Nothobranchius furzeri: one gene and its partners. The protein of the gene in region 1 interacts with the protein of each later gene in a biochemical or structural test. Links are inferred from orthologs where the notes say so. Each region holds a gene or a part of one and is shown in the gene's direction. Other genes may lie near its edges.

Evidence for each region.
Region 2: the proteins of hdac3 (region 1) and pparg form a complex in vitro, tested with the Homo sapiens proteins (3 studies listed by BioGRID, with this or other methods). The link is inferred for Nothobranchius furzeri from reciprocal best matches to the Homo sapiens genes HDAC3 and PPARG.
Region 3: the proteins of hdac3 (region 1) and ep300a form a complex in vitro, tested with the Homo sapiens proteins (2 studies listed by BioGRID). The link is inferred for Nothobranchius furzeri from reciprocal best matches to the Homo sapiens genes HDAC3 and EP300.
Region 4: the proteins of hdac3 (region 1) and nr0b2a form a complex in vitro, tested with the Homo sapiens proteins (2 studies listed by BioGRID). The link is inferred for Nothobranchius furzeri from reciprocal best matches to the Homo sapiens genes HDAC3 and NR0B2.
Region 5: the proteins of hdac3 (region 1) and hif1aa form a complex in vitro, tested with the Homo sapiens proteins (2 studies listed by BioGRID). The link is inferred for Nothobranchius furzeri from reciprocal best matches to the Homo sapiens genes HDAC3 and HIF1A.

What each region holds. Positions count from the first base shown.
Region 1 is NC_091741.1:31,109,975-31,116,052, forward strand, and holds part of hdac3 (histone deacetylase 3), read left to right. Parts: intron 1-3,664; 5' UTR 3,665-3,666; coding exon 3,667-3,767; intron 3,768-5,804; coding exon 5,805-5,893; intron 5,894-6,078. UniProt on the Homo sapiens protein: Histone deacetylase that catalyzes the deacetylation of lysine residues on the N-terminal part of the core histones (H2A, H2B, H3 and H4), and some other non-histone substrates.
Region 2 is NC_091743.1:63,418,834-63,425,542, forward strand, and holds the start of pparg (peroxisome proliferator-activated receptor gamma), read left to right. Parts: upstream 1-2,275; 5' UTR 2,276-2,576; coding exon 2,577-2,628; intron 2,629-6,709. UniProt on the Homo sapiens protein: Nuclear receptor that binds peroxisome proliferators such as hypolipidemic drugs and fatty acids.
Region 3 is NC_091756.1:27,987,280-27,993,868, reverse strand, and holds the start of ep300a (histone acetyltransferase p300), read left to right. Parts: upstream 1-2,601; 5' UTR 2,602-2,739; coding exon 2,740-2,827; intron 2,828-4,829; coding exon 4,830-5,500; intron 5,501-6,589. UniProt on the Homo sapiens protein: Functions as a histone acetyltransferase and regulates transcription via chromatin remodeling. Acetylates all four core histones in nucleosomes. Histone acetylation gives an epigenetic tag for transcriptional activation.
Region 4 is NC_091745.1:40,693,422-40,699,463, forward strand, and holds nr0b2a (nuclear receptor subfamily 0 group B member 2a), read left to right. Parts: upstream 1-2,288; 5' UTR 2,289-2,727; coding exon 2,728-3,262; intron 3,263-3,347; coding exon 3,348-3,613; 3' UTR 3,614-3,815; downstream 3,816-6,042. Other genes in the region: kdf1a (keratinocyte differentiation factor 1), read right to left, coding at 5,481-5,566. UniProt on the Homo sapiens protein: Transcriptional regulator that acts as a negative regulator of receptor-dependent signaling pathways. Specifically inhibits transactivation of the nuclear receptor with which it interacts.
Region 5 is NC_091758.1:31,055,935-31,062,553, reverse strand, and holds the start of hif1aa (hypoxia inducible factor 1 subunit alpha a), read left to right. Parts: upstream 1-2,620; 5' UTR 2,621-2,849; coding exon 2,850-2,881; intron 2,882-6,619.

The sequences.
Region 1 (6,078 bases):
TGACAGAAGAGGATGTGCTCAGGCTTTTCCGTAAGCAAAACCCACAGAAATCCCCGGGCCCGGACGGTGTCTCCCCTGCAACCCTGAGACACTGCGCAGAGGAATTGTGTCCAATCTTCACGGACATCTTTAACATCTCCTTGGAGTCCTGCCATGTTCCTGCCTGCTTTAAGCTGTCCACCATTGTCCCTGTCCCTAAGAAATCCCGTATCACTGGACTGAATGATTACAGGCCTGTGGCGCTGACGTCTGTAGTCATGAAGTCTTTTGAGCGCCTGGTCCTCCCTCATCTCAAGTCCTTCACCTCCCCCTCCTGGACCCTCTGCAGTTCGCATACAGAGCCAACAGGTCTGTAGACGACGCCATCAACCTGGCCCTCCACTTCATCCTGCAGCACCTGGACTCCTCGGGAATCTAAGCTAGGATCCTGTTTGTGGACTTCAGCTCTGCGTTCAACACCATCCTCCCTGCTCTGCTCCAGGACAAGCTCTCCATGCTCAACGTACCCAATTCCACCTGCAGGTGGATCACTGACTTCCTGATGGACCGAAGGCAGTGCGTGCGGCTGGGGAAGAATGTCTCCACCATTCAGACAATAAGCACAGGATCTCCACAGGGCTGTGTACTTTCTCCTCTGCTCTTCTCCCTGTACACAAACTGCTGCACCTCGAGCCATGACTCCGTTAAACTGATCAAGTTTGCGGACGACACCACCCTCATCGGGCTCATCTCTGACGGTGATGAGTCCGCCTACAGGAGGGAGGTGGAACGGCTGGTGTACTGGTGCAGCAGCAACAACCTGGAGCTCAATGCTCAGAAGACAGTGGAGATGATTGTGGACTTCAGGAAAGTCACAGCTCCATCTCTCCCCCTCGTCCTGACGGACACCCCCGTCACCACTGTGGACTCCTTCCGCTTCCTCGGAACCACCATCACACATGACCTTAGGTGGGAGCCATCCATCAGCTCCCTGATCAGAAAGGCCCAGCAGAGGATGTACTTTCTGCAGCAGTTGAAAAAGGCCAAGCTGCCGGCCCAGATGATGGTGCAGTTTTACACGGCCATCATTGAGTCCATCCTCACCTCCTCCATCACTGTGTGGTACGCCGGAGCCACGGTGAGGGACAAACATAGACTGCAGCGCATTGTGCGCTCCGCTGAGAAGGTGATTGGCTGCAGCCTTCCATCTCTCCAGGACCTGTACGTCTCCAGAACTCGGGGGCGTGCAGGTCGGATGGCAGCTGACCCTTTTCACTCGGGTCACAGACTTTTTGAGCCGCTCCCCTCAGGCAGGAGGTTACGGTCCATCCGGACCAGAACCTCCTGCCATAAGAACAGCTTCTTTCCGTCTGCCGTTAGACTTGTGAATAGATTATAAATACACAGCCATGCTGGTCTTCTGCACTTGACACAACATCACGTTATCAGCCATGTTAACACTACCTGCCATTTTTTATAGCTGAAAGTTTCCTTCTATTTTTATTCTATTTTATTCTATTTTTAATCTTATTATTATTCATGTTATATGTAGCACATTAGTACCAAAGCAAGTTCCTAGTTTCTGAATTGTTTGTTCACTGACAATGGCAATAAACCTATTCTGATTCTGATTCTGACTCTGATTTACCGGTCGATCTATGTTCCTACCCTCACCTATGGTCATGAGCTTTGGGTATTGACCGAAAGAACAAGATCGCAGATACAAGCGGCAGAAATGAGTTTTTTCTGAAGAGTGGCTGGGCTCTCCCTTAGAGATAGGGTGAGTAGCTCGGCCATTCGGGAGGGGCTCAGAGTAGACTCGCTGCTCCTCCACATCGAGAGGCGCCAGTTGAGGTGGCTCGGGCATCTGGTCAGGATGCCTCCTGGACGCCTCCCTGGTGAGGTTTTCCAGGCACGTCCAACCTGGAGGAGACCTAAAGGTAGACCCAGGACACACTGGAGGGACTATGTCTCTCACCTGGCCAGGGAACGCCTTGGGATTCCCCCGGAGGAGCTGGCCCAAGTGGCTGGGGAGAGGGAAGTCTGGGCCTCTCACCTTAGGCTAGTGCCCCCGCGACTCGACTCCGGATAAGCGGATGAAAATGGATGGATGGTGTTCAAGTTATTTTTGTAAACATTGTAGAGTTTAGGGAATTGAGTGCTTAAGAGCTCAATATATATATTACCTCTACTTGTGACCAATAAGCTGTGATACTCTATCTAAATATAGAATATCAACCCTGCTTGGTCTTTGTGTGTTTATCAGGATTTATCTAGGATTCTTTATTTATTAAGGGATTGTACACACTTTGTTTTGATTCAGCAAAGAGTCAGGTTTATAAAAGTAAGAATTTATTTTACAAACAATTAAACATGACAAGTTAACTAACATTTGCTGTGAGTGGATGGAACTAGATGTGATGTATGAAACCTATGGGTGAATGTGGTGTTATCAGAACTTCTGGATCTAGGAAAGCTGAGTTCTGGATGTAAAAGAATTTGGGTTGCACTAAGCTATGTAGTTGATCATTATCAAAAAGCACATTAGATGCTATCTGTGTGTCTACTTCACCAATTCTGGAGACCCTCTTGGTGGGTCCGAAAATCAGAGAGGTCGGTTGACCTCTGGCGCCGAAGGGCTGTAGAATACCGTGGCACCGACTCTTCAGTCCAGAGTTGTCTCGGGTCATGACAGATGGATGGAACCGCGTGTCTGGGACTCTTAACCAGTGTTAATTTTGACAGGAAATTTTAATTTTATTTTAGTCTTAGTCGTTATAAAACGAACCGGTAAAACATCTGTGCGGGCTCGGGACTCGGATCATATCAGTGCAAACCAGACATTGTGAAAATTATAAACAACCAACAGCATGCTTCACTCTACTGGTCTAGTCCTGGTTTAGAGCGCACGTGTAGCGAGCGGCTGCGACCCAAAAAGTACCAGAACCGCTCACGGTGCATGCGCAATCATGCATCAACACTGCTCGCCCGCTATTTCCCTAATAACACACGTTATAGTCGTGAAAATACAGTACTTCCGAATTTTTATCCCAACATGACAGAGTTGGTACAGTTTTATTTGCCTGTATGTTACTTTTCGGGTCGTCACGTGTACAACATTTAAGTGGATTTACCTCGGAGAAAATGGCGAAGTGGCCATTCTGTAGATGCCTCTTCAGATTTGTTGTGTTCTTTCCTCGGAACGACAGTCCACACTCTCGGCATGTAGTTTTGGTAGCAATGTTATCATAAGAAAATTGACTCCACACATCTTCTCTTCTTTTTCGCCCAGCAGTTAACATTTTCCTCTACTCCTTCTTATGTCGTTGTTTTGTTATGTTGTTATGTTACGTTATGTTTTAAAGATGTACATTTAAAAAAAATACTACTGTTTTCACAGCAAAATTATTTTATCTGTACAGTTCTGTTTTGCACAAAGTAGATAGTAAAACTGAATGAAAGCATAAACATATTGTTTTATTCTTTATTTTTATTATAATTACTAAAGCACTATAATTAAAATAGTATGGAAATATTCTAGATCAGCATCATGAAGCAAATGTGTGGCCAAATTATATACAGTTAGTTTTCTGGAAAAGGAATGAAATGTCCCAGTGTGTGTATGCATGAGTTTTATATGCATGAAAAAATATTTGTAAATTAATTATGATTTATCATTGTACAGACATGCCTCGTAAGGAGAGGAGGCGGAAGCAGCGACAGAATGAGCTACTTGAGGCAGCTAAAGGCAGTGGGTCCCTCACCAGCTGGATAAAAAAAGAATACAGGTAAGTTGCATCACAGCAACAAGTGTAGAAACAATAATATACACAACTGCAATGTTTTGATGCCAGAAAATGTTTTTGTTAGCCTCTTGATCATGGATTAGGTGCAAGACCTGTTAAATGTGAATAACTACATACCGTAAATCCTCTAATACAGGCCCGGGCCTGTATTTGACTCAAGCTCATCAAGCTCCAGGCCTTTATTGGAAAGAGGGCCAGAATTAGAGGCAGGCCTCTATTTCTATTTGAGCAAAATGAACTAATGGTTCGCTGGAGTTTTTGACAATTAAAATTGTGCCCACATTTTCAAAGTTAAACACATTTCTTTTAACAACGGTAGTTTCTGCTTCAGCCCTCTCCCCCCTGCCCCTGCTTCAGCCCTCTCCCCCCTCCCCCTGCTTCAGCCCTCTCCCCCCTCCCCCTGCTTCAGCCATCTCCCCCCTCCCCCTGCTTCAGCCATCTCCCCCCTCCCCCTGCTTCAGCCCTCTCCCCCCTCCCCCTGCTTCAGCCCTCTCCCCCCTCCCCCTGCTTCAGCCATCTCCCCCCTCCCCCTGCTTCAGCCATCTCCCCCCTCCCCCTGCGCAGCGGCCGCAAACTCACTGATGCGCCTGCAGCCTCTCAGAGTTCCTGCTGCTCTAAACATTAAAATAATTATTTCATTTTCTGTTCCTCACTTCTGATTACCTTCAGTGGTGTCTGTTTGTTGCAACCAGCAGGTACAAACACTAACTTGTTTTTATTTGACTATTTTTCTGTCCTGCCTGTTTATTATCTTCCTGCATCTCCTCTCAATCCTAAAGAAAAACTGCTACCTGGGTTCATATATATTCACCTTATGAGTTACCTTTGAACTGCAGTTCTAAAAGATCTACCGACCGCAAAAACAGCGGAGTGCTCGCTGCTTGGTGGCAGCGTGATCGGTGCTTCACCGGATGACAAGGTGATGCGCCCCGCTCCACAGCGAAACGCATCAGGCGCAAATAAAAGACAGAAAACATTAAAGGAAATAAACCGACATGAACAATCGCGTGTTAAATTAGTTTTTGAGGTGGCGACACCTGATTTGATAATGTTACTGTTGCCTTGCGCAGGAGGCAGATCTACCGACCGCAAAAACAGCGGAGTGCTCCCTGCTTGGCGGCCGCATCAGTGATCGGTGCGTCACCGGAGGACAAGCTGATGTGCCCCGCTCCACAGCAGCAAAACACATCAGGCGCAAATAAAAGACAGAAAACATTAAAGGAAATGAACCGACATGAACGATCGCGTGTCAGTACCGACGCTCTGGCACAGCGCGTTGCCCCCCCCGAGCGCAGGAGCTTGTCACCTGCTGACAGCAGGCTGCTGTCTTTTCCGTGGACTGCATCTTGCCGGTCATTATCACGTGACAGCGACTAGTCAATGACAGGCATAAAAAGTCACTATAGTGAAGTCGACTAGTTCATACAACCCCTACTACTGCTCCCCAGTGTTCTGCAGCGCACGTTCTCTTTGACCTTGATATCAAATTTTCGCCTCCTCTTCGTCTCCGCACGGTTAAAGTTACCCTCGCGGTCTATCACTGGCAAATCAAAAGTGACACAACCGCCCCCCGTACTTGCTTGTTACCACATTCCACCCGGCCACAATAAGAGACCGGCCATTATTCACCTCCGCCGGCTCAGACACCGGCCAAAATATGATACCCGGCAGTTACTTGAATACAGGCCAATATTAGAGGATTTACGGTAATTCATTCATACAATAGCTAATTTTGCCTTGTTCTCAGATGGACAGCAAGTGGAGAGTGATAGATCACATGAGATTGAAGACACACACAACTCTTTCTGTTTATATTTCTGTCGCATTCTTATCTCTGACATAAACTCCTCTATTATCCACTAATGTTTAGATTTCCATTTATTTACAACAGGTTTTGTCTCAGATATTTCTGTCTTACAGTTCTAAGAGTTTTCACCAATTTTTGCCATTTTTTTTATTATCTTACATTAATTTTGTAATTGACTAACATTTCTCCTCTGTTCGTTTTACTACCTACAGTCTGAGATCAACACAGCCTTGCCCTCCAGCATCACCAGCAGCAGCAAGAGGAGCAACCCTGCAACAGCTACATTGTACCCCATCATCAGGTAAAATAGGACAGCAACAGATCAGGAGGTGGAGCAGGTTGTCCAGTAATCGGAAGGTTGCAGGTTTGATCCTGACTTTAATCAGAGATTGATGCTGTTGTGTCCTTGGGCAAGACACTTAACCTGCTTTGCCTGCTGGTGGTGGTCGGAGGGACTGGTGGCGCCTGTGCTCAGCAGCTTCACCT
Region 2 (6,709 bases), on another chromosome or scaffold:
AGTCACCCCCTACCAGAATATTACTCCACTCCCACTTCTTGTTTGAAAAATGCAACAAATTCTGATGCCTGGCAGACCGAGAGGGTGGAGCTGCTAACAAATACACACACGCTCACAACAACACTGTGATATCATAATGTACCAGCTAACATCATAGTGTACCTCTTAGCCAATAGCGATGGGAGATTTAAATTCAAATGTAGTGTAGAGTTTTTACCTGAAGATGACAAAACACTGACGGTTTTAGGCAGAATATTTAAATTGAACTAAGCTGCTCTAAAATGCCACATTATTGACTATACATGTCTACAGCATGATTAGGCACTCATTTATATAGTTCATCAGCAAAAGAATGTTGATTTGGGGGTGACTTGCTCTTTAACTTGACCAAATTAAAGCTATTAAAGAAAATCTACAGAACAAGCTAGGTTTTGAACGAAAACACAGAACACTCACCCCTCCCCTTGGGTATCTTCCCTGAGATGCTTCTGCTGGAACCAGAAACCTGCAACGCCAGACGAAACGAGATAGTGCTAAACACCGGTCATCGTTTTCTAGGTCCATAATATTTTGGTTGGCTGTGGCTTCAAATGGTGTATTTCTTTTTGGGACTCTGGTAGTTTGTCCGAAAGTTGAAGTGGTAGCAGCCAGCTGTTTCACCTTTTCTGATAATATGAGCGAGCCTCTCACACCGTACTTCAAGCCTGGGGCCCACCGGAGGCGGCTGCGCCACGTCACGCCGTCATTTTAAATAGAAGCCATTATACTTAATGAGAGTGGCCCCCTTGGGAGCGCCGCGTCCCAGAAGCGCAGCGCCAAGGCACTGAAGACAGCTACCAGTTCTATCTCAAGTGGCGCGGTGGCTGTTTATGACATTGTGGAGTACTTTACAACAGTCATTATGTCGCGGAACGGCTTTATGACACAAACTCAGTCACAGTTTTGATAACTTTAAAGTACTATTGATTATAAAACATTCTAATAAATAGCGTACTTACCCATTTTTAATGAATTTGAGTCACAAAACACGATGGCAAGTCTGATCACGTGTCACTTCCCGCTTCCTGTTCTCAAGTCCCGTGTGATGTTGTGACTATCGCGCGACTTTCCAAGAAGTGTCCTGTGTGACCACTTGACTTCTCAAAATCTCGGGCGGCTCATTGGTATTGGCGGAGATTTTTAGACAAATGCAAGAGAACCACTTTGTTTTATGTATATATTTTATGTATTGTACATGTACCTTTGTTATTATTTTTCTTCAAATTATTCTCTTAAGTGTTGGTGGTGCTGTAACAAGTGAATTTCTCCACTGTGGGATCAAAAAAAGTCTATTCTATACTAGTTGTTTATTTATTTATTTATCATTCTCCACAAAATATGTATTGCTATACTATGTTTAAATGTTGTTAAGGGGCATGGAAACATGTTTTAAGCTAATTTGTTTTCCAAACTTGCCTTTGCAGCTTTAACTTGACTAAATATGCTAATATGAGGAAGTAGCTGGCCATGGCTAAAAGTGTGGCTAGTTAGCCACAAACCACAATTTAAAATGTGTTCAGCTTCCTATGAGCTCCATGCAGCTTTGATGTGCTGATAGGTGAGATCAACTTTAAAAAATACATTCATTTTATTACACTTATAGGTTGTTTCTTGGTGCATGCTGAGCCATATTTGACTTAATAAACAACAAATGTTTCCTAAAACATTAGTTTATGATTAGCTAGAAGATTTTGCAGTTTTTCTGAAAAATTCCGAGTTGATGCCAGATTAAAGAATTCATTTTGTGTGATGCTATTTCACTCATTAGGTGCCTTATAAGATCCACTCTCATAAATAAAAACTTGTAACAGTACCTGTGTTTTCTGCGCATAATAAATCAGTTTAAATAGATCCGATTAAGTAAATCGGAGCTTTAGAAGGTAATTTGACGCCTTTTTATGTGTCCTTAAATCCCTGGAGGTTGAGCCGAGAGGAGGGAGGGGAGAGACGCACCAGGCAAGGCTCACACACGCACCGTAGCAGCAGCAGGAGCTGAGCGCTCCACAGCGAACGGACCCGGACCCAACCACACTGCTGCGGCTGTTCGGTGCCCAAGCCCCCGGTTCCAGGGGGGAGGCGAGCTAAACACGACCGAGAAAGTGCGGTCCAACACCGGAAACGCAGCCCGTGGACTCTCTCTGTCCTCTGCGGTTCAACACACTGATCAGGTCAGTCACCCCCTTCTGAGTTCACTATTTATTGTGCTTGGAGTTGTGGCTGCTAGGAGTAATAAAACACTGCAAACGTCATAAAAAGTAAAGTAATTCAGAAGACTGGGTTTAAGTGTCTGCATCAGTTTTTGTGTCATTTTAAAACAATAAGGATAACTTTTAACTTTTTGATTTCATACTAAAGTTTTACTTTTTTCAAACATGTCGACTTAAGGTGGACACTTCCTAGAGAGTGACAAGTAGCCAGTGGCGTAGATTGGGGGTGGCGATAGAGAGGGGGTGCGGCCACAGGGCTGACAACTGGCATGCACGTCAGGAGTTGGTCCAGAGTGTGTCTCTGGGCCACAGTGCGAGTGTGAGCTTGACATGCAAACACCAGGCAGAGATTTTCACCATCTAAGTGGTCACATCTTCTCAGGTAAGACCAGGTGATGCCTGCTGTTGGGTTCTAGTGTTTTAGAGTGTGTGTGTGTGTGTGTGTGTGGGGGGGGGGGGGGGGGGGGGGTCACATGTGCTGATTCACTGTAGATTCTTCTACAGTAACTGCTACATAAGAGTTGTGACTCAGCTATAATAATGTAGACTGACACAGTCACTCCTGTTTTTTCCACTTTGGGTTTTGATGAATTAATTTTGAACTCATGTGGGGAATAAATCTGATCTGTTGGTTTATCCTTTAATGGGACTGATAATGGTGAAAACAAGCTGCAAAATGGAAACGTGTTATAGATATCAGTCAAAACAGTAATTATGATCAGAATATTTAATAAATGCTTAGCATTACCAGATGTAAATCATCACCTTTTACTCCCTTTTGACATTTTGCTCACTAAATTTGTGCTCGGTGTCATTTGTATTTTCTGTATTATGTTTTTTTCTTGGAACGTTATTTTAGTGTTACTTTTTTAAATGTACTTGTTTTGTTCTTATTTTAGTCAGAGTTGTGATCTGGCGATACACAACAAAACAATCACTTAATGTAGGCAAATATTTAGCTTCAGCAACTTTGTTTAAAATTTAGACTAATATCTTTAAATCGAGTTTTCTGTACTTCTGATTATCAATAAACTGCTGCAGGTCAAACTCTGTCAAAATGTCTCTAAATCAATAAATAGCATTTTAAAGGTTAACAAATTATTATTGGGTTTAAGCAAAATTGTCCATCAAACATTCCAGATGCGATAGGACGAGTTTATCACTAAGCTGATCATAGTTTATTATGTCCTTTTTTAAATGAGACAAAGCATAATACATTTTTTATTGAGTGATTAATTATCAAGGCGTGTTTTTGTATTTATAAATGCACCTTCAGGTAAAAGCATAAATATTACTTTTATTACAGCAGCAGCTTGGTTTATTTTAAGTATTATTTATTTGAATGCAAGCATTTTCATCAGCTATTCATTTGGAAGAAATTGAGTGCAGTCCTGAAAGTTTTGCCTCGGATTCTGGTGTCATAAATCTCATGCAGCTTGAATCAGTAATACTAGCTCAGGTAAAAAAACATCCTGTAATCTTTACATAAATGACTTAAAGTCTAACAGCAGCTTCGATACAGGCGTTGATGCAACTGCATGCCCTAAATCACTCATTTATCAGGTTATATAATTCTTAGAGTAAGGTGCGTCCATGTGTTTGTTGGTGCATGTGTGTATGAATGACTGAGACAGATTCGGACTTTGTTCTGTTGTCGTAAACGAAAGGAGTGCTTCAAGATACGTTGCTATTTCTTTGTTGTTGATCACTCGCTTTGTGGATAACACACCTGCACATAAAGCTATTTTAATTGTGTGCTAAAGAGTTCAAGTTACTTCTTGTCACTTATTGTCATTTTTGAAGCTTTCTATTGATGTAAAAGAAAGAAATATCAACTTTTTCTGCCACAACCTTTTGGAAGGTACTTCAGTCACCTACAGTTTTAAGAGCGAAATGTAATCGCAAAAGGAAGGAAGACTGTCTAAACATCTGTTTTTGCATAAACATTCAGATAAAAGAGAATGACATGCTCTGGATGAACCCACAGATAATTAACCACTTTTGCTTCTGCACTGCCAAAATCCTGCTTTGTTCATTTTAATTTCATGCAGTGAATAAGTGTTTTAAAAGGCTTTTCTGATTAGGTTTCATCAGATAATGCTGGCGTTTGAAGTGGTTTAACCCTAAGGTTGTCAATTTATTTTTAAATTAGGTGTAATTATTAACTTCAGGGCTATCATTTCATCATTTTCTGTCTACGAACCGCAACATTTTGGCTGCAGATGCAAACTTTTATTGACACCAAACAAAACTTTGGACACTGGCAAGTTGTTTGCTAATAAAACTTTTCTGTACTTGTTAATCTTTTGTACTTTGACAGAGAGATGTGTGATTAATTAAGTACGCATTTTGCTTTGGGCTCCAAAAGAATCATTATTAAAATTATTTTGTCATGTTCCGCTTTGAAAGTATCCTTCTATTTAGTCATGCCTCTTTTCATGGCACATATTTCCACAGTTATGTGACGTACAGTGTGTGATGTGCAACATAAAATACTCAATTACTTTCAGTTATGACCCAGCACTCACTATGGCATTGCAACCATTATTTATTTTCCATACAGTTCTTTTTCCAAGTATGGACACTCCTGGAAAAAACACATTTTGATTGCACTGTCTCCGTTTGGACTTCCAGGCTCCCGTGGCAGCTATTCTCATCTCTCAGCTTTGCTCTCAGTTCATCATAGTTTCTCCATGCAACCGATCAGTCAAGAAGAAAATTAGATTTGATAAGTTAGTATCTACATAGATTTCACACTAATGACTGAATGTTAGGTTTTTTTAATTATATTTGATGATAAGCTCTATGATGAATTAATTTTGGTTTCATAATTTACTCTTATAGGTTTTAATCAATATTAAAGAGGACATATTAGGAGTTCATTTTTACTTATAATAGTTTTATGGCTATACAAAACATTTTCATGAAGTTCTTTGCAGTAAATCTCTCTGACATGAAGCAAATCTAGCAGTTTTAATCTTGACCGTTTTAGTACCTTCCAGAATGAGCCATTTCAGGGTTCTGTCACTTTAAGGAAAGCCCCCCCCACCCCACCCCCCCACCCCCCCACCCCCCACCCACCACCACCACCACCACCACCACCACCAGACTGCTATACCCTGGGAAACTCTGCTATAGGGAGCATAAGGCCTAGTCCACACGTAGCCGGGGTTTTTTTTTTTACGGATATCCGCCCCTCCAAAAACTTGCATCCACACCACCTCGTTTTAAAAAAAAACTCTGTCCACACGTATCCGGATAAATACGTTGTTAAGGACATGCCAGACCTGTAGGCGGCAGTACTTCCCCTATTCTTAACCTCGTCCTTCGTCTGTGGTCTTCTGCAAGGAGCAGTAATTCCGCTTGCAAAAACAAACAAGCAAAAAGCACTTGGACAATTGATAAAGCAAGCGCAGCTCTGAGGGCATCTATGCTGTCGGCTAGTGTCGCACACGTGATGTCAGCATTTTTTTGTCGCGGAAAGTGACGTTGCGGACCTTAAAACTCCGGTTTTGTCTGTCCACACGCAGACACCCAAAACGGAGAAAACGCAGATCTTCACTTTGGCCGGAGTTTTTAAAAAGATCTGTTTTCGTGTGAAAAAACTCTGTTTTAGTGTGGATGACAGGCCAAAACGTAGAAATATATCTACGTTTTGGCAGATCCCCGGCTACGTGTGGACAGGGCCTAAGTCACACCCATCTTCTTCCAGTCCATGGATCCCCTACTGCCCAAACAATATATATGATATGAGACTTAGGCTACCGATTACCACACATTTTCGAAATTATAAATATCTGCACAAAAATTGAAATTGTATAATTAGCCATTTCCTCTCTTTCTAGCCCTTACGCTAACCCCCATTTCACACTGGAGGCATCATTGGCGCGGAACAGTTTACTCGTGTGCGTCAATGCATGCCAGTACACACTGAGGTAGCTAGCATGCTGCTTTGTGCTCAGTGTTGCAGTGGGAGCAGCCCCGAAGTGTTTCCAAGTAGACCAGAGCATTCTTAAAACCACACATGGCAGGAATATCTGTTCAGAATATTTTTAGAGCCATTCCAGTAACTGGGGGCGTCCTTAAGTTTTTCAGAATGGGGAAAAATGGGTCAAAAAGTCAGAATAAATATCCTCTAGTGTGAATCGGGCCTAAGCAGTGCAATCACGAGTATGTTACTGACACAAAATGAGCAAAGATTTATTATAATTCACTGTATTACTTTTGAGTCACACACAGCTAGCTAATTTACAGTTGAAAAATCTATGAACTGTAGATGAGTCCATTTTTGTCTGATCAAACATCTGTGAAAACATACTTCTGGTACTTTGATTCAAACATTGTGTAGGCTGCACATATTCAGAACTTCTTTTTTCTCTTTAAATGGTGCAGTCCACTGTATGGTTCAGCATTGATGCTTTGATCACAGCACCTGCCATCTGAGAAGTGACTGGGTGTGCAGG
Region 3 (6,589 bases), on another chromosome or scaffold:
CAGCGGTGGATGGGGGTTGAGCGGGTGCGCTTTACCGACTTCCAGGGAGGTTTGTTACCGGAAGACAAGATGAACAGCTCTCTACAGGGACTCGGCTCTCAACGTTCACTTTGAAAACCCATTCAAAAGATTTGATTCGTTCGTGAATGTCACATCACTACTGCTTTGTGCTCCTCACAGGAGTCTGTCCTCGCTCTGCCACGGCTGGAGCGGTGGTTCTGACCTGCAGTGAGAGATGTTTACTCCACTGAATCCAGGCTGATAATAAATGTGAATGTGGGAACCCCCACTGGCTGATTCTACCTGCCAATCAGAAGTTCCCTCTATAGGTAGGCATGAACTTCAGCCAGCCAATTAGTTGATATTGCGTGTGTTGGGTAAATCTTGCATGAAGTGGATTGCCAAAGAGCAGGTCTAAAAAAAAGAAAAATGGTCAACTGAGCACAGAAAACACAGATTACTCAGATGTGAACACAATTCACTTATCAGGGCTAGGCCTGCGCGACCCAGATGTGAAAGCCCTATATATGGTGAGACTTGTGGCTCGAGGCCTATACGTGTAAAGTAGGGCCTATCTACAAGCACCAGGTATTTGGGCCTCCAGGGGTCTAGCCAAGCTCAACGTGAAAGAGTTTTGCTATGCCACTTGCTGTTTATGCCCTCATTGGCACACCCATCTGCTGGAAGACTGGTTGAAATTTAATGTATTGAATGTTTTGAGTTAAAGAACAGATGAGGTTGGGGCCCCAGGCTGGCCAAACCCAAGCATCATAAACTGGCTCTATGGATGTAGAGATGTCAGTTTGCTGACAGAAAAAAAGCCAAAACTGATGTGAGGTCAAGCAATACCAACCAGACCCAGTTGGTTTATGAATAACTTGTAGACATGGGCTGAACTCTCTCATACTCTGTGTTGCTGCCCCTTGGCATCCAAAAGAAATAAGGAGGAGAGCTTTGACGGGTGCAACTTTTTATTTTCGTCAGGCTGTAGATGCACACATCTCATTCCCAGAATCGCACCGAGCACCTGGTGTCAATCACTGTGCAAACACCGTGAAAACTGAAAATACATAATTTACAAACAAATTAAAGACAATCGCTGACAAACATCAGGAGCAACAAAACAGAAAAGAACAAATACCTTGCTCCTCTTGCCATGGGGTGCAATCAAAGTAATGTCACACAGAGGCTTGGCACAGCAAGACCATAGACTAAACGTACAAGCATTTGTTAGGGCGACACATTCTTATTTAATCAATTTTTGTCAAAATACCCGCACTTACGTGGAAGTTTGGTTTGCTGCAACACGCCAAGCCAGATGGAATGCCAACGCCATGTCCACATCCGGGTTAACGCCCACTTATATGCAACTGAATGAGTGACGTTGACAATCCACCTGCTCACAGCCATTTACACTCTGGAGTTATGCACAGGATGAGGAACCTTGCAAATGTGGAAATTCTCACAAATCAAGAGCCTTAGTTTGGGAGTTTTCCCCTGTGAGTGAGCAGGAGTGTTGACTATCTACAGCTTCAATGCTTGTTCCTGGACTTTAATGTGAGTTGTTTGATGACTGGTCAAAGAGATCAGGATATATATATATATATATTAAATAAAGGAATTAAGGGTGTTTTCACTGGAGTACACAAATCAATGCATGGTATAGAGTTACCGAGTTATACAGTCTTTGAAAACAGACAGAAGTTTAGAGGACATGCATTGACCATGGAAATGTAGAGCTGCCAGGGCAATGGAGAGCTGTCTTATGCTTATTATAAAGCCATTGTGCCATTTTATTTTTTGTTAATCCTTTAAAGTGCGGAAATAATTTTTCACAAAATAAATCATTTGATATAATCAATGTTTAAACCTATGGTTGAAAAACAAGGCAAGGGTAATGTTTTTACTTGTGGGGATAAATAATTTTAGGGGTTGTGTAAAATGTCTGAACCATCTGGTTAGAACTTTTCCAGAAGGACCAGGCATGGATTTCTGTATTTGTATTGTCACATTTGTTCGCAAAGTGTCTAGATCTAATAAAACAAAACTAACCAACAAAACTCTGATAAATCAGACAACCTGTGCCAAAGTTGTTTGACAAAATGCAAATTTAGTCTTTCCAGTTTTAACTCAACAAGGAGGTGATGCAAGCTTGGGTTGTTGGAAAATAAATTATGTTTTACTATTATTAAAACACTTTGTGATTACAGATGCAGATTTAACTGATGTATATATTTTTATTTACATCCTCTCCTCCACACCCGCTTCCACCACCAGCAGCACCACCACCGTCACTTCGCAGCCTTTTCTGCTCGACACTATCTTCATCCTAACTCCGTTGGAAAGGAGGCTGAAATGACGGATGCAGCCATGGAGGCGACACCCGGGGACAGCGCATTTGCATCGGAAGAGGCGCTTTGAGTTTACGGAGCGAAGCCGATGCGTGTGTCTCCCTCGTCTTTACCTTCGCCGATCCCTTCCTCCTGCTCCTCCGCTGGCAGAAATTTATAAAGAACAAAAAATCCGACGAGGGAGGGAGGGGGTTGATGTACGCCGAGGCTGAAATCGAGAGGCGAACCCAGGGAAAGAGGAGCAATTTCTACTCGGGACTTTCCCCCTCTTAGTACCCCAAAAGGAGGGGGAAAAGTCGCAATATTAGAAACGAAAAGGAATGAGCTTCTAGGGGCGTGAAAACGTCTGCAATTGTGGAGACTTTATATATTTTTATTTCGAAAAAATATGGCCGAGAACGTTCTGGACTCTGGCCCGCCTTCAGCAAAGAGGCCTAAACTCTCCTCTCCGGCACTTTCTGCCTCCGCTAGCGATGGTAAGTTTTGGTTTATTTTATCATTTGTAACGGAAATATTCGTTAACATTATCCTTTTTTAGTGACTTGTTTGCATAACAGAGGCCAAAGACCCGGGTTTGTTCTTCTGTTTTTGTCGTGGCTTGCTAATTTTAGCGTGTGTGTGTCGGACGTGAGGAAGGGATGTTAGCTCACATGCTAACAGCCATTTTAGCCGGTGTTGTGCCGAAATGAGCTCCCCTGCCGCGAAACGCACCACCATTAAGGGAAGTTGACTTGTTTTCAATTTTAACAAGTTAAAAGTGACAAATTTATATATGGTTTTCAGTTCATTTGACGACTAGATAAAAGAAAGATGTAGCTTAATGATGCAGTTTGTGTGCTTTTAAGTTAAATTGATGTTAGGATTCGCCTCTTTCTGACCAGGAAGGAATTTCAGCCACTAAATTTACACTATCTTCGAAACTTGCAAAAATACCGATACTTATAGAAACATTTTGCTACTCTCCACGGGATGGGTTAATTGCCATACTGAAACATTGACTAACACACATCCATATATCAAAATACGACCCGTAAATAATTTAATTGAGCAACATACTAAATTGATTGTTTCTTTTGACTTTCTTCTTCAGACTTCCACTTAAGTAATTAATCAAACTACCATCAAATGCGTTTGCCTACAACGATGTGCCATTTTTAGCACAACACCTGAGATAGCTGCTAGCCACAAGGCTAACCGAGTCCACAACTGTCCGTTCCTAATGACCACTTTATTCGGACTGATTGTGAGCTCAGTGTTCATGTGCCTTATTCTGAAGTCTTTGTTGTCTTATAGTTATATCACACTGTTAGTCATTTTCTAACAAAGCCGCGAATTGTGAGATTTCTAGGCTAGCGTCGTCTTAGAGGATCTTGTTTTCCAAACTAACTCGTTGATAATGTTAGCGAAAACAGAGGGTACTAATAAACATTTAGGCTAGTCTATCTTCAGGCCCAGTGTTTTAAGTCGTTATTGAACTTATTTTTCTCGATATAGTATAGTTTAAAAAAGTAATAGTAGTTAATGGCGTAATGTATTGGCTATTACGGCCTAAGAAGAAAAACCGGAGCGTGGATAGCGTCGTGCCATAACAGACATTAGCCAGGGAGTCACGTTGACTAGATTCTCTGTCACATAAAATGTAATCATTTGTTGTCATCTTTACGATGATCGGCTTCGTCTTTGGTTGTCTAGCACTAATCTGTCATTGAATCGATGAAGAAATACTCCAGACGTCACACACGTTTTGTTACGTTGCATGATGTTTTGAGAGCGCTGCAGTGCTTTATAAGAAAAATCCTCCTCGTGTTGGGATGCCATTTATTCTTCCAAAGATTGTTGTTTTCTAAGCGTTAGGAGTGACGTTGACACAAGCTATTTAAACTTAAGTACAAATCTGAAAAGCATGCATCTAGCTGAATACAGACTCATGGTTTTTATTCTATCACTTGGTGATTCTAGCTGTGTCATAGTTAGAATAAGTGGTTAAAATGTGAGATGGGATTCAGTGAAGCATCAGCAAACAGTGAAAAGCAGCTAAATGTCCAAAACCTCTAAATAAGTCTTTCAGTCCATCTATTATGACCAAAACATTAATTTGAGTCACATGACTGTTTCTGCTGATCATTGATGTTATGGATGTTTTGATTACACTTGTGCACATTTTGTTTAACTTGATTTGATCAACTATTTTAATATTATTAATAATTTGTAGAAGTACGGGATGCTTTCACCTCTCCATTCCCCCATCAGGTTAAGCTGTGTGTAGTTGTTGTACCAGGCCACTAGCTTTGAAAGTCACTTCTAGTTTTGAGCTTGGTTGTTAAACTTGTCATCATGGGTGGGTTTTTTTCCATTACCTATTGTTGACAGTTGTGTACCCCTTCCTGGAGTATATCAGCTCAATATGGAATTGACTCTTTGGAAGTTTTGTCCTTCAGTTCAAATGATCTTCTTAAACTTTGTATTTATTCTTTTCAGATTTTGGTTCACTATTTGATTTGGAGCACGACCTCCCAGATGAGCTCATCAGCTCTAATGAACCAGGTCTGGTCAATGGTGGGGACCTCAACCAGTTGCACACCAGTTTGGGAGGAGGACCTGCAGGCTTGGGTGCAGGAGGTGGAAGTGGAGCAGTAGGAGGAATGGGGCTTGGACTTGGTCCTGGAGGGGGCCCCACAAGTATTGGTGGAGGCCAAGATGCAGTGGCTAAGCACAAACAACTGTCTGAGCTTTTACGAACGGGGCCAACCACATCTGGTCAACAGGGGCATCAAGGAGCCATGGGCAGCCCAGGAGGCCCCACAGCCATGGGGCAACATTTGGTGAACATGAAGGCCCCCTCAGGTCAAGGGCCCCAGCAGATGATGGGACAACAGCATCTTTCTCCTCAGCAGCAGGCCAACATGATGCAGCAACAACAGAGTGGAATGATGGCTAACAGGGGCATGATTGGTGTGCCGCAGAAAGGCAATAACGGACAGCAGCAGCCAGGGATGATTGGAAACCAGGTGATGAATGGTTCCCCCAGGATGGGCTTCGGTAATCAGGGGATGGCTGGTGGCAGCAACCTGTTGGCTGACACTCTACAGCAGCAAGGGGCAGGGGGGCAGGTTGGAGCCAGAGCCCAGCAGCATGGAGCCATGAACAAGGTAGGGACTCTCCTTATTAACATGATATTAAACATTGCAGGTGATCCCATTTATTTTTAGAAGGGGATAAATCTCATGCCAGACTGCAAATAGTTATTTTTTACATGATGATCATGTTAAAGCCAAAAAGATAGGACTTCTGCAGTCATAGAAAAATGAATTGGTCAGGCAGGTTTATATTCAACATGTGTGTCGGGGCCCCTTTGCTGTCCTACTAAATATTTTTAGTGCATTCTAATATTTTTCATGTCCTCAGCCTAGTGCCTTTATTAAACTATAACCTGTAGTTTAGAAGGGTAGAGACTGACCACGTTTAAGTGACTGATGGTCCTGTGAGTGACAGTAAGTGTCAGGTTGTCGCTGATTGAACGTGATATGGCTGAGATGAAAATTTGTCGCAATGCTGGGAACATTTGGAGTGTGCGGGAGCATGTCATGTGCTCATCTTAACACTCAAGAGTCCAATGATGCTTTGAAGTCTTGTCAGTGGGAGAGGCTGTTCTTATTGGCTGTTGAACGTAGTAGATAAATTGTGTAGTAAATTATTATGCAGGCAGCTGTTGGGTTTTTTCTATGCAATATGCTTAATACTATTAACTCAAAACACATTAAAGTTCATCAAACTGAGCTAAAACGATGATGAAAGGTAAAAGATCAAACTGAAAATGGCCCGAGGTTGTAATTTATTCACAAGTTTTAATAAATATTGCATTTATTCACCTATGAAATACTTTATTTAATCTTTTTTCTCCAAATTCCACTTTTTAATATTCAGAATAAATGTCATAAAATAAAATATTTTATTATGGGGGGAAGTTTTTAAGTTTGAGGAAAAAACAATTTCAGAAAAGTAAAATAGATTTGTGAGAACGGGACCTACACTTTATCCTACCACGCAAAGCTACGCCTTAATTTGCACACATTTGTAATAAGGCTGATTGCACAGGTTGATCCTGTCTTCTTTGCAGTGCTTTTTGTTGCTATTCATTTTCCAGACAGTCCAGTGGGTAGGATCACCGCTACTTGACTGTGATTAGTTGTATTAGAACCATGAAAACATTTAAATGAAATGCTGCAAAACGATTACCA
Region 4 (6,042 bases), on another chromosome or scaffold:
GTTGTACGTGTATGTTCATAGCTGAGAACTTTGCACCACCCTTTTGTACAATTCATGTTTCATGTTTGCCCTGCAGAAGGTGATGTAGTGGCAATAAATACATCTTATGTTCATGCTGTTATGTTTATTAAGCTATGCTTAATTTTCTGTCCCTTTTGTTATGTTCTTATAGAAGACTTGGCTAAACTGAGGTTGATGCAAACATCCTTTGTGTGTTTGGGCCATCCAATGATTTGTTATGGTTGATTGCACATGGATGCAACTTAACGCAGAGCACCGGTGTTCTGCTGAGCTGTGGTGGCCTCATGGAGCGGGCCGCCGGCTAGCATGCTGCTGCTAACTACTTAACATACTCCCTCTCTTATTAATAACATTTTACTCTCTTTAACGTTGTATGTGCTACTACTAGTTCACCTGTTGAATCAGTTATATGGGCCATTCCCATCTGTACCGGGTCGGCCCGGGCCGGGTAGCGTAGGTTGTTTACATATCTGGGTGGCCTGGTATTTTTCCGGGCCAACCAAGGCTCATTCTCAGCCCTCTTCTCAAGGGGGTCTGCTTCAGGCCGACCAGGGCCAACACACCCACTGCTGACAGCAAATTCACACCTTCCATTAGAGCAAGCCTCTGATTGGTGGGTAGAATCAGCCCACATGGGCTTAAGGCAAGGATGTGTGGAATCAACCGGGCCAGGCTGGGGCCGACTGGGGCTACCCGGCCCGGGCCGACCCGGTACAGATGGGAATGGCCCATTAGATTCACCCAGATAAAGACAATAAAGTTTATTTCTCACTAAATAGAATATTTAATAAGAAATCACAATCTAGCCATAGGAACACCACTTGGTGTGTGTGTGTGTGTGTGTGTGTGTGTGTGTGTGTGTGTGTGTGTGTGTGTGTGTGTGTGTGTGTGTGTGTGTGTGTGTGTGTGTGTGTGTGTGTGTGTGTGTGTGTGTGTGTGTGTTTGCGCTGACTTCCCAATCCCCACTGTCGCTACACACTTGCTTTTGAGGATTGCTGCAAAGACCTAGTCAGTGACTCGATGCCGTCTGCTGAGTTAGGAGCTATATAAATAATCTGAACTGAAGAAAAACATGTACATTATTGAGATTAGTTGTGAAATGGCCAACAACAAGAGAATGTAACATTTGTAAAAACAATAACACTATTTCTTTTTTGATCAAGATGCTTTTTTAGATAAGTTTGTCTCACAAACGGAACATCTGCAGTTAGAATGCCTCATTTCATTTCAAATGTGTTGACAGCAAAATAAACATGTTCAAAAACTTCTACGTAAATGCAGCTGTTACTCAGGAACTGGGCAAAAGCAAATGCAAACAAAGAAACTATAGAAGCAGACATTTGTAAAACGGGTTAATTACGTTCCAGATCACTAACAAACACTTCTGTGCATGTTTCAAATGAAAAACTGGTCTTACACACGACCCTTACGATCACACAAACAACCTTTTAATCTTCTGTGTAATAATCGTGTTAAAGATCGAAAAGGCAGAATTAAAACGCAAATCTTGATGGATATCCATTAACGGTGTGGAACACTGAAAAAAAGTTTTAATTATTATTTCTGATTATAATCGGTCTCCGAGTGTTTCGTTCATGCTGAACATGAAAATAGTCTCCTACACCTAGGATTTGAAAAGCCTGACAGATCTACGCCACGCTGTCACCTAACATTCATGGACTCACCCTCCTTGACTCGCGGCTGTTGTTGGCTTAGCATCCAGGAAACAGCAGAGAGGTAGTAGAAGCTAACGTTAGCACAAGCAACTCCACCACACAGCAGACCTCCTCCAGGCTCGTGTTATTTGTGGAGAGAAAACATCAACGTTGAAGAGCAAACAGAGTCAGTGGTAGAGTCGCGTTGCTGCTAGCCGGTCCGATTTTAAAGGTTAGTAGGTGAAGTGGTTATAAGGTTGAAGTATGCTTTGGGACTTCTGAGGATTAGATGCATTAAGTGTACATTTTACCGTTTGTTCCCACCCCAGAGTTACAGGTTAAGCTATCAATGCAACTTGCCCCTAGGGGGCTCGCTACAGCGATGAACTTGTTTTATATTCTTCCCGAAGTCATTTGGAATCATTTCAATAGTTCCTTTAGTCATCACACACTGTTGAAATTCATCTCCGCATTTGACCCATCCCCGTGGGGAGCGGAGAACTGCAGCTGTGGTCGGGAATTATTTGGTGGTTTTATGCTACTACTACTGTTTCCCTAAAATTGAAGCATAATTCCCACTGTTCCCGGTTTGGAAACGTTTGTCTAAACTAAACTACGTTTGATGAGAACACGATGTGAAGGTCAACGGCCTCCTTTGTGGTCTGGCCTCCTTCCAGCACTACAGGTGTGAGCTGGCGGGTGCAGTGACACAGCGTGGGGCTGATTACCTCTGCAGTCCTTGGTAGCTTGGTACTGCCTGGGTTGATGACACTGCCTTCCAGATAAGGCCAATCCCACTTGATATCCATGTGTGACTCCAGCAGCTACTTCTCAATGAGAAAAGCTTATCTGTTTCCCAGGGTTATTCCAGCAGTCACCTGGCAGAGCGCGCGGTTGTTTTTCACATTGGGTGTATTGACATTTCAAGGTCCACTAAGAAGGGAGGGTTGGCCTTATAAATAAGACTGGAGGAAGCAGCAGCTCTCAGAAGCTCAGACGGAGCCCGTCGTGGCAGAGAAGAGGTTCAGAGGAGCAGCCGCATCGAAGAAAGATGGATAACAGATGCCAGTGTTCCGCTAACAAACAAAGGCAGTTAAACCCGATCCTCTACAACATCTTGAGCCAGATGGACAGCGGTAGACCGACTCCAGACACCTCCAGCCACAGTTCCGTTCCTCACAGATGCAACTGTGAGACGCGGCGGAGAGTGTGCTTAAAAAGGCCGTCTGTGGTCTGCAAAGAGGCGTCTGCAGTTCTGGTGAAAACCGTCCACTTCATGAAGAACTTGCCAGCGTTTAACCAGCTGCCACCCAGTGACCAGTTTGCACTACTTAAAAGCAGCTGGGTGCCACTTTTTATTTTGGGTTTGGCCCAGGAGCGCGTGGACTTTGAGGTGGCGGACGTCCCTGCTGACAGCATGCTGAAGAAGATTCTCCTGAACTGCCAGGAGAGCCCTGAAACAGAGCGGGAGCAGCCAACCATGGCAGGCATCAGCAAACTCAAGTCGTGTCTCAAAAAGTTCTGGAGTCTAGATGTGAGCCCAAAGGAGTACGCTTACCTGAAAGGGACCACGATATTTAATCCAGGTATGTACTGCGTTAACTGGATTCAGACAACAGATAATCCAAGGACTCGTTTGTCAAGCAACAATTCTGGTTTTCTCTCAAACAGATGTACCAGATTTGAAGGCAGGCCTGTTTGTCGAAGGCTTGCAGCAGGAAGCTCAGCACGCCCTGAGCGAGGTGGTCCAGCTGCTTCACCCTGGCAACCAGGAGCGCTTTGCTCGGATCCTCCTCACAGCCTCCATGCTGCAGGGCATCACACCCAGCCTCATCACCGAACTCTTCTTCAGGCCTGTGATAGGCCAGGCCAACCTGCTGGAGCTGCTGGTCGACATGCTCTTCAGCCGATGGGAGGGGTGGTCCTCGGGATGGTGACCTCCATGCAGCGTGCTTTAGAGGCTTCTATAAAGCACACTAGGGTTTTGACTTTCGTCCGCTGAAGCTGAGGTCACTTCACCGTCTGAGCAGAACTCCTGAGAGGTTTTTGAGTTTTGATCCTACGTGTCGATGAGCTCCTCTGCTGTAAATAAGCATCTGCATTTCCAGAAAACTTGAATAAATATATTTTTGTACACGACTGAGTCCGATCCGTGGATCCATCCTCCATTACATGTTGTGCTCAGCAAACTTTTCAGAAAGTCAAGCGTAAGCCTGCGCGTTAAAGGAGAGAATCTAAAATTAGAATGAAAACACACATTTGTGGCTTCAAATGGAACAGAAAACCTTTTTTCTGCCTGTACTGCTGTGCTGTGTCTCCCTCTAGAGGACGTTTGGTGGAAGTTTTTTTTTCTCAGAAGACTAGCGGCAAATATTTTCTTACTTTTGCATTTCTCACAAAACCACAGCATCAAGATCCCCCCACCCCATCGTCACAAAAAGGGACAGAATGGCACGAACGCTAAACTCAGCGCAGTATAAAAAAACACTGTCTGCATGTAGTTATTTGAGAAATCAGGCTTAGTCATCCTACTTTGTGGTATGTTAGTTGTGAAACCCTGTCTTTACATGACAACTCGTACAGGTAAAACAGGAATGTGCTGGTGGGGGCGGTGAGCCGGTGGAAATGGGGTTACGCGTGGAAACGGCAACACAAACAAGACAAAAGGAGAGTCCAAAATGCTTCAAATCGAGTGCAAAGTGGAAAAAAACTACACATTTTTGTTGCTGCAGCAATTTTTCTTTTCAGCAGATATGAAATCATCCAAATGTTGGAGTTGTTAGGATAAGGTGGCTGTAATCTGCTAGATTTACTGAAAACTTAGAACCCGGTGCATTCAAACTGAACATCTTCATTTGAGCAGAAACAAGAAAACGTGAAACAACGATCAACGCGTCCTAAAACAGATTAGAACCAGAAACCAAACTCTTCATTCTCTTCAGGCTCCTGCAGCAAGTCTAGTTATCGGAATTGCTTCTTTCCTTTTTCCATGAATGACAAAGACAAACCTCGGGATTTTATTTCCTTTCTGTCAGAACCAGCCAAACGAGTTCCTCCTTTTGCTGAGGGCGGAAAAAGCCTCTACCTGCTAGAACGCTGACCTCGGAGACGAGCCTGCAACAATCCCAGATTCGGAAAAAAAAGGAAAAGTGAGCTGGAGAGGAAGAAACTCGAATGAAAAATGATTTCTTGGTGTATGAAAGCTACACTAATATGCCAGTATTCCACTTGTGGCTGCAAGAGAACATAAACACACTTAAATATGCAATAAAAAACACAAGAATTTAGTTTATTTTTTTAAAATACAACTTTTTGGGTAATATAAAAAAAGACACCAAACGGCACAATGCAACATCATTTCAAGAACAGTTATGGCTTCAGCACAGTTCTGCTGCTTAAACATCAGCAGCAGCAGCAAAAAAAAAAAAAAAAAAAAAAAAAAACATCTCAGGTTAAAGAAACGGTAACAGATCAGCTCAGACAACACAACGCTTGTAAAACTAAAAAAGGAAGGAGGACGGTTATGACCTACCACGGGGTTTGATCCTGTGGCTTTCTGACGGCTGACTGATGTTTTCAGAGAAGTCTAAATCTTTAGAACACTGATCACAGGTTTACCTAAACATCAAAAAACAACGTACACACCTTTGTTCAGGGGGACAATTCATAGCAAAAAGTGTCTTCTCCTCTCACTGGAGAACTGTAACCATCTAGAGAACGGTGCTCTGCTCAGTAACAGCATCCATGGCAGTAGCAACAGCAGTCGGGTGACACCCTTCTGCAGTAAAAGCACATCAAGTCTCTTCAGATGAGCAGAGGAGCTCCTGACGAGTGACTTCCTGTGTCGTGATGGTACGGCGAGGAGACCGTGGCGGTGCTGGAGGAATACGCTGGTGGAGAAGCAACATTTGTACAATTAAACAACTCAAACAGCGAGGGCTCTACATCATCTGCACGGGGAGGGTTCGTGCAGTGAGAAAGCTGCAGAAACACAACGTGCTGTACCCTCATTCAGAGGCGTGTAACCAGACACCTTTAAACTGCCTGTTTGCTAAAAAGCAAGTTTGAAGGGAGAAAAAAAAGCCAGTTGCACTGTAATTTATTAGTAACCCAAGTTGTTTGCTAACATGACGTAACGTTACAAGGTGTAGATTTGATGTGACTCGATCTGCTGCTTTAGCGGGAGGTGTAGCATGACCGCTGAGCTGGGGTGGGGGGGATAAAAGAGCCTGGAAGACCGGCACGGCATTAGGTGGGACTGTAATGTGCGAAGAAAAAGGAGAAGGAATGCTGTTTGTTAGAGAAGTGTGCTGCTGGAAAGTAGGGAGGAGGTGAGAGAAAGCCTGCAGCTGCAGACGGCACAATG
Region 5 (6,619 bases), on another chromosome or scaffold:
AAATATTTAAACACACCTGAGTTTAAAACGAGCTTTTAACAGTCATTCATCACAATAGTGCTAGTTAAATGTGCAACAAAGTGATAATTCAATAAATATAATTTATAAATATCCATTAAAATATAAAAACTGGAATTAAAACGAGACATTTTGGCAGCACAAAAAACTTGTCAAACACAATATTTATTATAATAATTGTGGGCAGGCAGGAGACAGAGCTGATGGAGGTTCTCAGTCATCGAAGGATGGCTGAAGGCTTTCCAGGAACAGGAGATGTGGTGTTGTCTATTCTCTCTCTATTCTGCCAGATGTGCTGATAGGTTACAGGTGTGTGAGGACGTCCTCATGCTGTCGTAACCAGATGACAGGAGTTATCAGGTGATCAGCCAGGCTAATGAGATGCAGAAAGAAAACAAATCCAAAACAGTGTACAATAATCTGTGGTGTTGCTCACCTCGTGCTCTTATAGAATATTAACGCGTGCCTGCCTCATGGTGTAGCGTCCATATTTTGCTGAGTGCCCTACAATAATGCAGATTACTAGTTAATTTACTTTTGATAGCTTAAAAACAAAATATTTTATTTAAAAGTTATTTACCAGGTGAATCAGCTCACACGTCACCACCAAGTGTCACAGGACCAGAATCAGTCGCCTCCTTCATGATGTCATGATGTAATCTAGCTCCAAGCTCACAGCAGCAACACACGTGTAGCAATAAGCTATGAAACAAAAACATAGATGATGTAAAAACTCAAAGGCTGTAATGAAGATTACATGATTAAAAACAACTCATCTTTACTACACCTGCAATGTTAGTCTGGGCCATTTGTAGCTGCAACAATCAGTCTGACAGCAGAGTTCTTGGGATCATTTAGCCTGAAAAAAAAAATAACATCACAGTGTTATGGGAGGTCGCTTTCAGAGATGATGAGAAACATGTGGAAAGCAGAGCAAGGATGGAGCTACAAATTTTTCTGTTAGATCAGGAGGTCCTGAGGTAAAACGGGATGTTAGTGTGAGTCTGGGAAGATGCTCCTCTCCAGTGGTGACCAGTCAGGCTGAAGTGTAAGGAAATAAACAGAATACAGAGTACAATATTATTATTTAGAATGTTTTTACCTGGATCAGTTCATAGAGCTTGTCCTGCCATTCAAATGGAAGCTGCTCAGAAGCTCTCCACCACACCTGGATCTGTTCAGGAGTGTAGAAGCTGCTCTAGGTGGAATTCCCATCATGGGCCCATGTCAGACACACAGCTGCTGGGAGGCTATGTGAAATATAAAGAAACAGCAAATATATTTATAGTTGGTTTTAAGAGCAGTAACACACGTGTGTGTAACAAGCTAAAATAATTATATGTTGTTAAAACTAGAAGGTAAAGAAAGACAGATGGTTAAAAATAACTCACCTGCAAGGCTTGTAGTCTGGGCCAGTGCAGGCTGGTGGAGGACTACATCAGTCTGACATAAGATTTATTGGGCAGATTTAGCTTGAAAATTATAATAACATCAAGTTGTTGTGGGAGTTGACTAACTTAGATCATGTACAAAACAAACTGTGTAATATATGTGCTTTATAACATGGCTGGTGAGTGATCGGACTGCTCTCAGAGCTAACTCAGGGTCCAGAATCAGACATGTTCTAATGAGAACCAGACTCAGCACCAGTTCAGAACCGGGTCAGCTTTTTAGCAGAAGGAGGAGCTACTCTTCAGTGTACCTCCTGCTCTGCATCAGCACTGATATTACTAACTGGCACAAAAACTTAGCACGAACCAGTCTGACATTATAACACACACAACATTGGCTTCGAGCCTGCGGCAGCGTGGACTGATTGTCTAAATTACGTGAACCACGTCCAAGTCTCTTTGTAATTATAAATATAGCTGCAAAATTACAGGTAGAGAATGATCTTTAGAAGCAGTTTAAATTAAATATTTAGCTTACTCACCTGAAATTGGGCCCAAAATCTCCGTTTTGAGGAAGCAGCAGTCGGCGGGATCAGGCTAATTACTACGGCTTAGACTAATTTGTGAAATGCTCTTCAAACTCTATCCCGGTTCAAACTACAGCACAACTCACTTGCGGCTAAGCCGAGCCTCGACTGCTACAAGGCTGAACAACACTATTAGACACTCATTTATACTAGTTATCAGCTTAAAAAAAGGTTGATTTTGATGTGACTTGCTCTTTAAAATTGTAAAATAATCCAACTGAAATTTTATTATTTTATTATAATTTACTTGAGTTAATTTTTCATGCAACATTTTAGACAATTTAAGGCATTCAAACACGTTTGCGAATTTAAATTTATAAAATAAAATTATGTTTGGGAAAAGGAAAGAAAAAATCACAACTACTTTTAAATCCCGTGTATTTTATTTTATTTTATTTTATTTTATTTTATTTTATTTTATTTTATTTTATTTTATTTCGTTTTATTTCGTTTCATTTTATTTTATTTTATTTTATTTTATTTTCCTAATTGTGAATGAGCTGCTTGGGTTTCCTGTGCACATGCGCGCTGTTGTAAAAAAAATCATGTGATTGCGCGTACCCGCGGAGACAGTGGGAGGGGCCAGCGCGGTCCTTCTTGAGGCAACATTGTCTCCGGTAAAGAAGCACTTATCCAGCGTGGCACTATTTTTCCCAGAAGCAGTTAAGTTTTTTTGTTTTGGAGCGTTTGATCTCACATTTGGGACAGCAGTCAAACAGCACTAGCTCTTATGTAAACCACTTGTGGATCTACGGATTAACATCTTTTAATAATCGCGGGATTGTGTTTCATTTCTCGACGCGCCCGGATACGGCTTGACACAGATAGAGGCTCAACCCGAGTCCAATCGTCCATGGACACAGGAATTGTACCCGAAAAGAAAAGGTAACGTCACAGTTTTGTTTTTTGACATGTTGTTTTAAAACTAGCTAGACAACTTAAGCGTTTATTTTATATTAAATAACTATAACTCCACTGACATTACGGCCTTAATTTCAAGGTTAACTGCTAGTTTGCTGTGTTCGTTTGCATGCTAGTGCTGCTAGCATCGTTAGCTAGCACCTAATACATTTCAGTAACCAGCAGTAGCCAGTTTGAGCTAGCTTTATTAACTTAACTGCTTTTATTTTTATCTAATTTGTTTTGATCACAACAGCTGATGCTTACTAAGATTTTGTGTGGTTGGCACTGAGATTTCCTCGATGCCACATGGTCGTTATTTACCTTTGTTTTGTCTTTGGCACATTATTAAATAATACATTACAGGGGAGGTTTTGTTTTAATCTGATAGTGTTGAATTAAAAGTTGCTGGCACCTATGTGAGCGGTCTGAAAATAATATTGGATTTTGAGTAAAAATATTAAGTGATCCATTGTTTTAGCAGAAATAATTTTGGTGTAACGTCACAGTAATTATAAGCTTCATTGTCAGCACTTGTGTTGAAAAGCACTTACCGGTAACTAAATTCACTAGGGAGATGAGCTCTGCTCATCAGGAAAATGTTTCCACATTTTATTAGTTGCTGCTAACTCTAACAGTGCTCTAGGCCAGGATGTTGACCTCAGATGATTAGTGAAGCTAGTTACCAAAAATAAATGTTTTAATTAATCCTCACAACAAATACTTCCAGGCAATGTGCAGTTGGTTTTGCTCAACCTTTTGATTGAGAGTTGAAGCTTATAAAGTCAAATGCCCCTGGATTGTTGAAATACTGATTGCTTTAATTTTAAAGACTGTAAGGCAAAACAGATTTAAGATTTCATCCCAAGTCCCAAATTTTGGGTAACGTTAAAGCTAATTTTTAATGTATAATGACCACTCTGGTTATATTAATACTTTCTATTGTTAGGTTTTCTGATCTGGTGTTTCACTCATACACTCCTTTTGTAATGTTCATTTGGTTAATCAAATGATTTGGTCTTTTTACTGGAAAACAATAGCCAGACATCTTGACAAAGAGTATTCTAGTGTTAAATCAAACAGACTTTGTCCATGGAAAAATCATTTAAAAATGTTGTCATGTTTAAAATAATGTGTCGTAATTGATGTGTAAATCACTTTACAAGAATAGCTCCAACAGTTGCTCCAAATATATCACTAATTTAGGCTTTTTTAAATGAGATGCATTAAACTGTGCACTGAGACACACAAAGCTCATATTATACCAAATATTAGTTATTGTTCCTGTTTAAGGGCACAATTTATGCACATTGGGAAGAGGATGGCTGTATTGTTAGTGCCATGACAAAACATAGAAATGATCTACTTAAACAAGTGACATGGGTGATAGATTATTAGAAATTCACTCATTCTGGTTTAAGGTCAGTAATGATTATTGATTATTGGGCAGCTTTTACCTGACACTACCATTTTGGTCCCATTTCATTTTATCTCAAACTGCAATTAATAAAAAAAATCAAATTTACTTGAAATTTGTGGTTTTGAAAGTGAAAACATTAATGTTATGAATCAGTTATTTCTAGTGTGAGCTGGCTCTGAGTGATGTTGTATTCAGAAACTAGAAAAGATCATATATAATTGATGGTTATGATGATTTTTGGAAAATTTACCTGCCATGTTTTAGGTTTTATTTATTTTTTATTTTTGTTTTGCTGCATCCCAAAACAGCCTTGTTGTCTTTTTAAATGAAGTTCTATTTTCACTGAGTGGCAGTTTATTGTGAAATCTCTGTACAAACATAAATGGCTCTACAAATGAAGTGGTTGTTTTATGAGCTGGCAATGGGACAAAAGCCTTCGAAGCAGAAGACTTCGATCTAAAACCTGTTCCAGTCTCTTGACCCGCGTTCCCTTTCTTTTCTGATCATGTTGTTTCCTCAGCGATGTTTTGTCAACTGTATCCAACTTCCCTCTGGGACTTCACCCTTTTGTGTGCTTCTTTTGAAACCTAGCACTTTAGATGTGTTTGGCAAAGGGTCACTATTGTCTTTGATTGCAATAAATATGACTTCAGGTTAATTCTGTGTTGCAGGCTGGTTTAAGTCTCCTGCCTCGTCCCTTAATCACAAGGGGCTTGACGTCAATAACTTAGGAGCCAAATGCTGCAGCGACTCACTGGTTGTGTATTAGCAGGTTGCTCTGAGGCATTTGAGTCGCAGGTCAGTTGGAACTTGAAAAAGAATCGAGGCACTTGCCTAAACAAACCACGGATGTGTTTTGGTTTGTGGTTGATAACGAAAATGTGTGCCAACAACCTACTTCCACTCGGCACGTGAATCACTGCTAAATGCTTTATTATTTATAAATTTATATTTAAATATGTATTAAATTTTATTTAAAAATATAACATCACACATTTTACTAAATAGAAAACACAGTAGTGATGTTTAGAAAAAGGCAAGTATTTGTTAGATTTAATTGGTAAACAAGAACAAGGACATAATGATTAGAGAACTTCTGCCAGTTTCCCAGATGCCAAAATCACAAAAATCTGGAAACTTTTTCTTCCACTTGATGGATAAATTTAGCACAGTATTTAGGAGTTTACCATGTCAGACAATCCAAGGAAGGATGTATGACCTTTTTTTTTATCTCTGTACATATTAAACTATCCTTCCTTGCATTAATAAGCAGTTTGAGTCTGATAAATAAAAACGTACACATTCAGCCTTATATCCTTTCTGTCTTTTGCGCCCATTGTATAAAATCATATATTAGCCAGTCTGTCAGATTGAGTTTACTTATTAAGACATTTATTTTTTGTGAAATTGTTCTAAACCGACAGAATCGCACCAGGTAAATTCCAGCCAAGTGTTAAACAATTCATAATGTGGCTCATTTTAAGAGTAGGGATGGACCGATGTGAACATTTGGGCAGAAATCAAAATCACTGTCACACGCCCAAACAAATACCGCTTGGCTAACCCACTGCCTTTCCCCTCCACATATATAAACACATACATAAACATTGGTTATTATTCGGGATGCTCAATGCCGATATAAACCAAAGCATGCAGGGTCCTCCTTAATAAAAATAAATAAATCACTTAGGTTGCGAACATCACATATCTCCTATCATGCATTCATTTGCTTTAAACATTATCTGTGCAAAATTGCAACAACTTAGTGATAGAAATGTTTAATTTATGGGATGCCGTTAGATAATTATTAAGTTCGTTATGAGAAAATGTTTGATTAATGAGTTAATACAAAGTACAAGTGAATTGATGATAAAAAAGGTTAAAATGTTTTAGGCTTTGAAAACTGATCAAAGTGAATCATCGTTTTTACAATCTTTGTTGTATTGTCTGTGCGAAATGTGACAGAGTGAGCGCTCCTAACTCAGACCTCTCACTGACATAGTTTTCCTTTCCTCTGCTCCCAGTGAGCTTACATGTTACGTTTAGGCAGAAACGGCAAAATAAATAAATAAAATAAACGTATCAATGATTTTGCTTTATACATTCGTACCTTGGAGAGTAGGGATGCACAATATATCGGCATCGATATCTGTATCGGCCGATGTCATTTTTTAACATATCAATATCGGTCCGATAAATAAAAGTGGACCGATATTAACAACCGATATCTTGTTTCCATTTATCTGCTACAGAGGGTGAGGGGGTGATGTGTCATGTGACAGTGGTTGTAATCATCTCAGAAG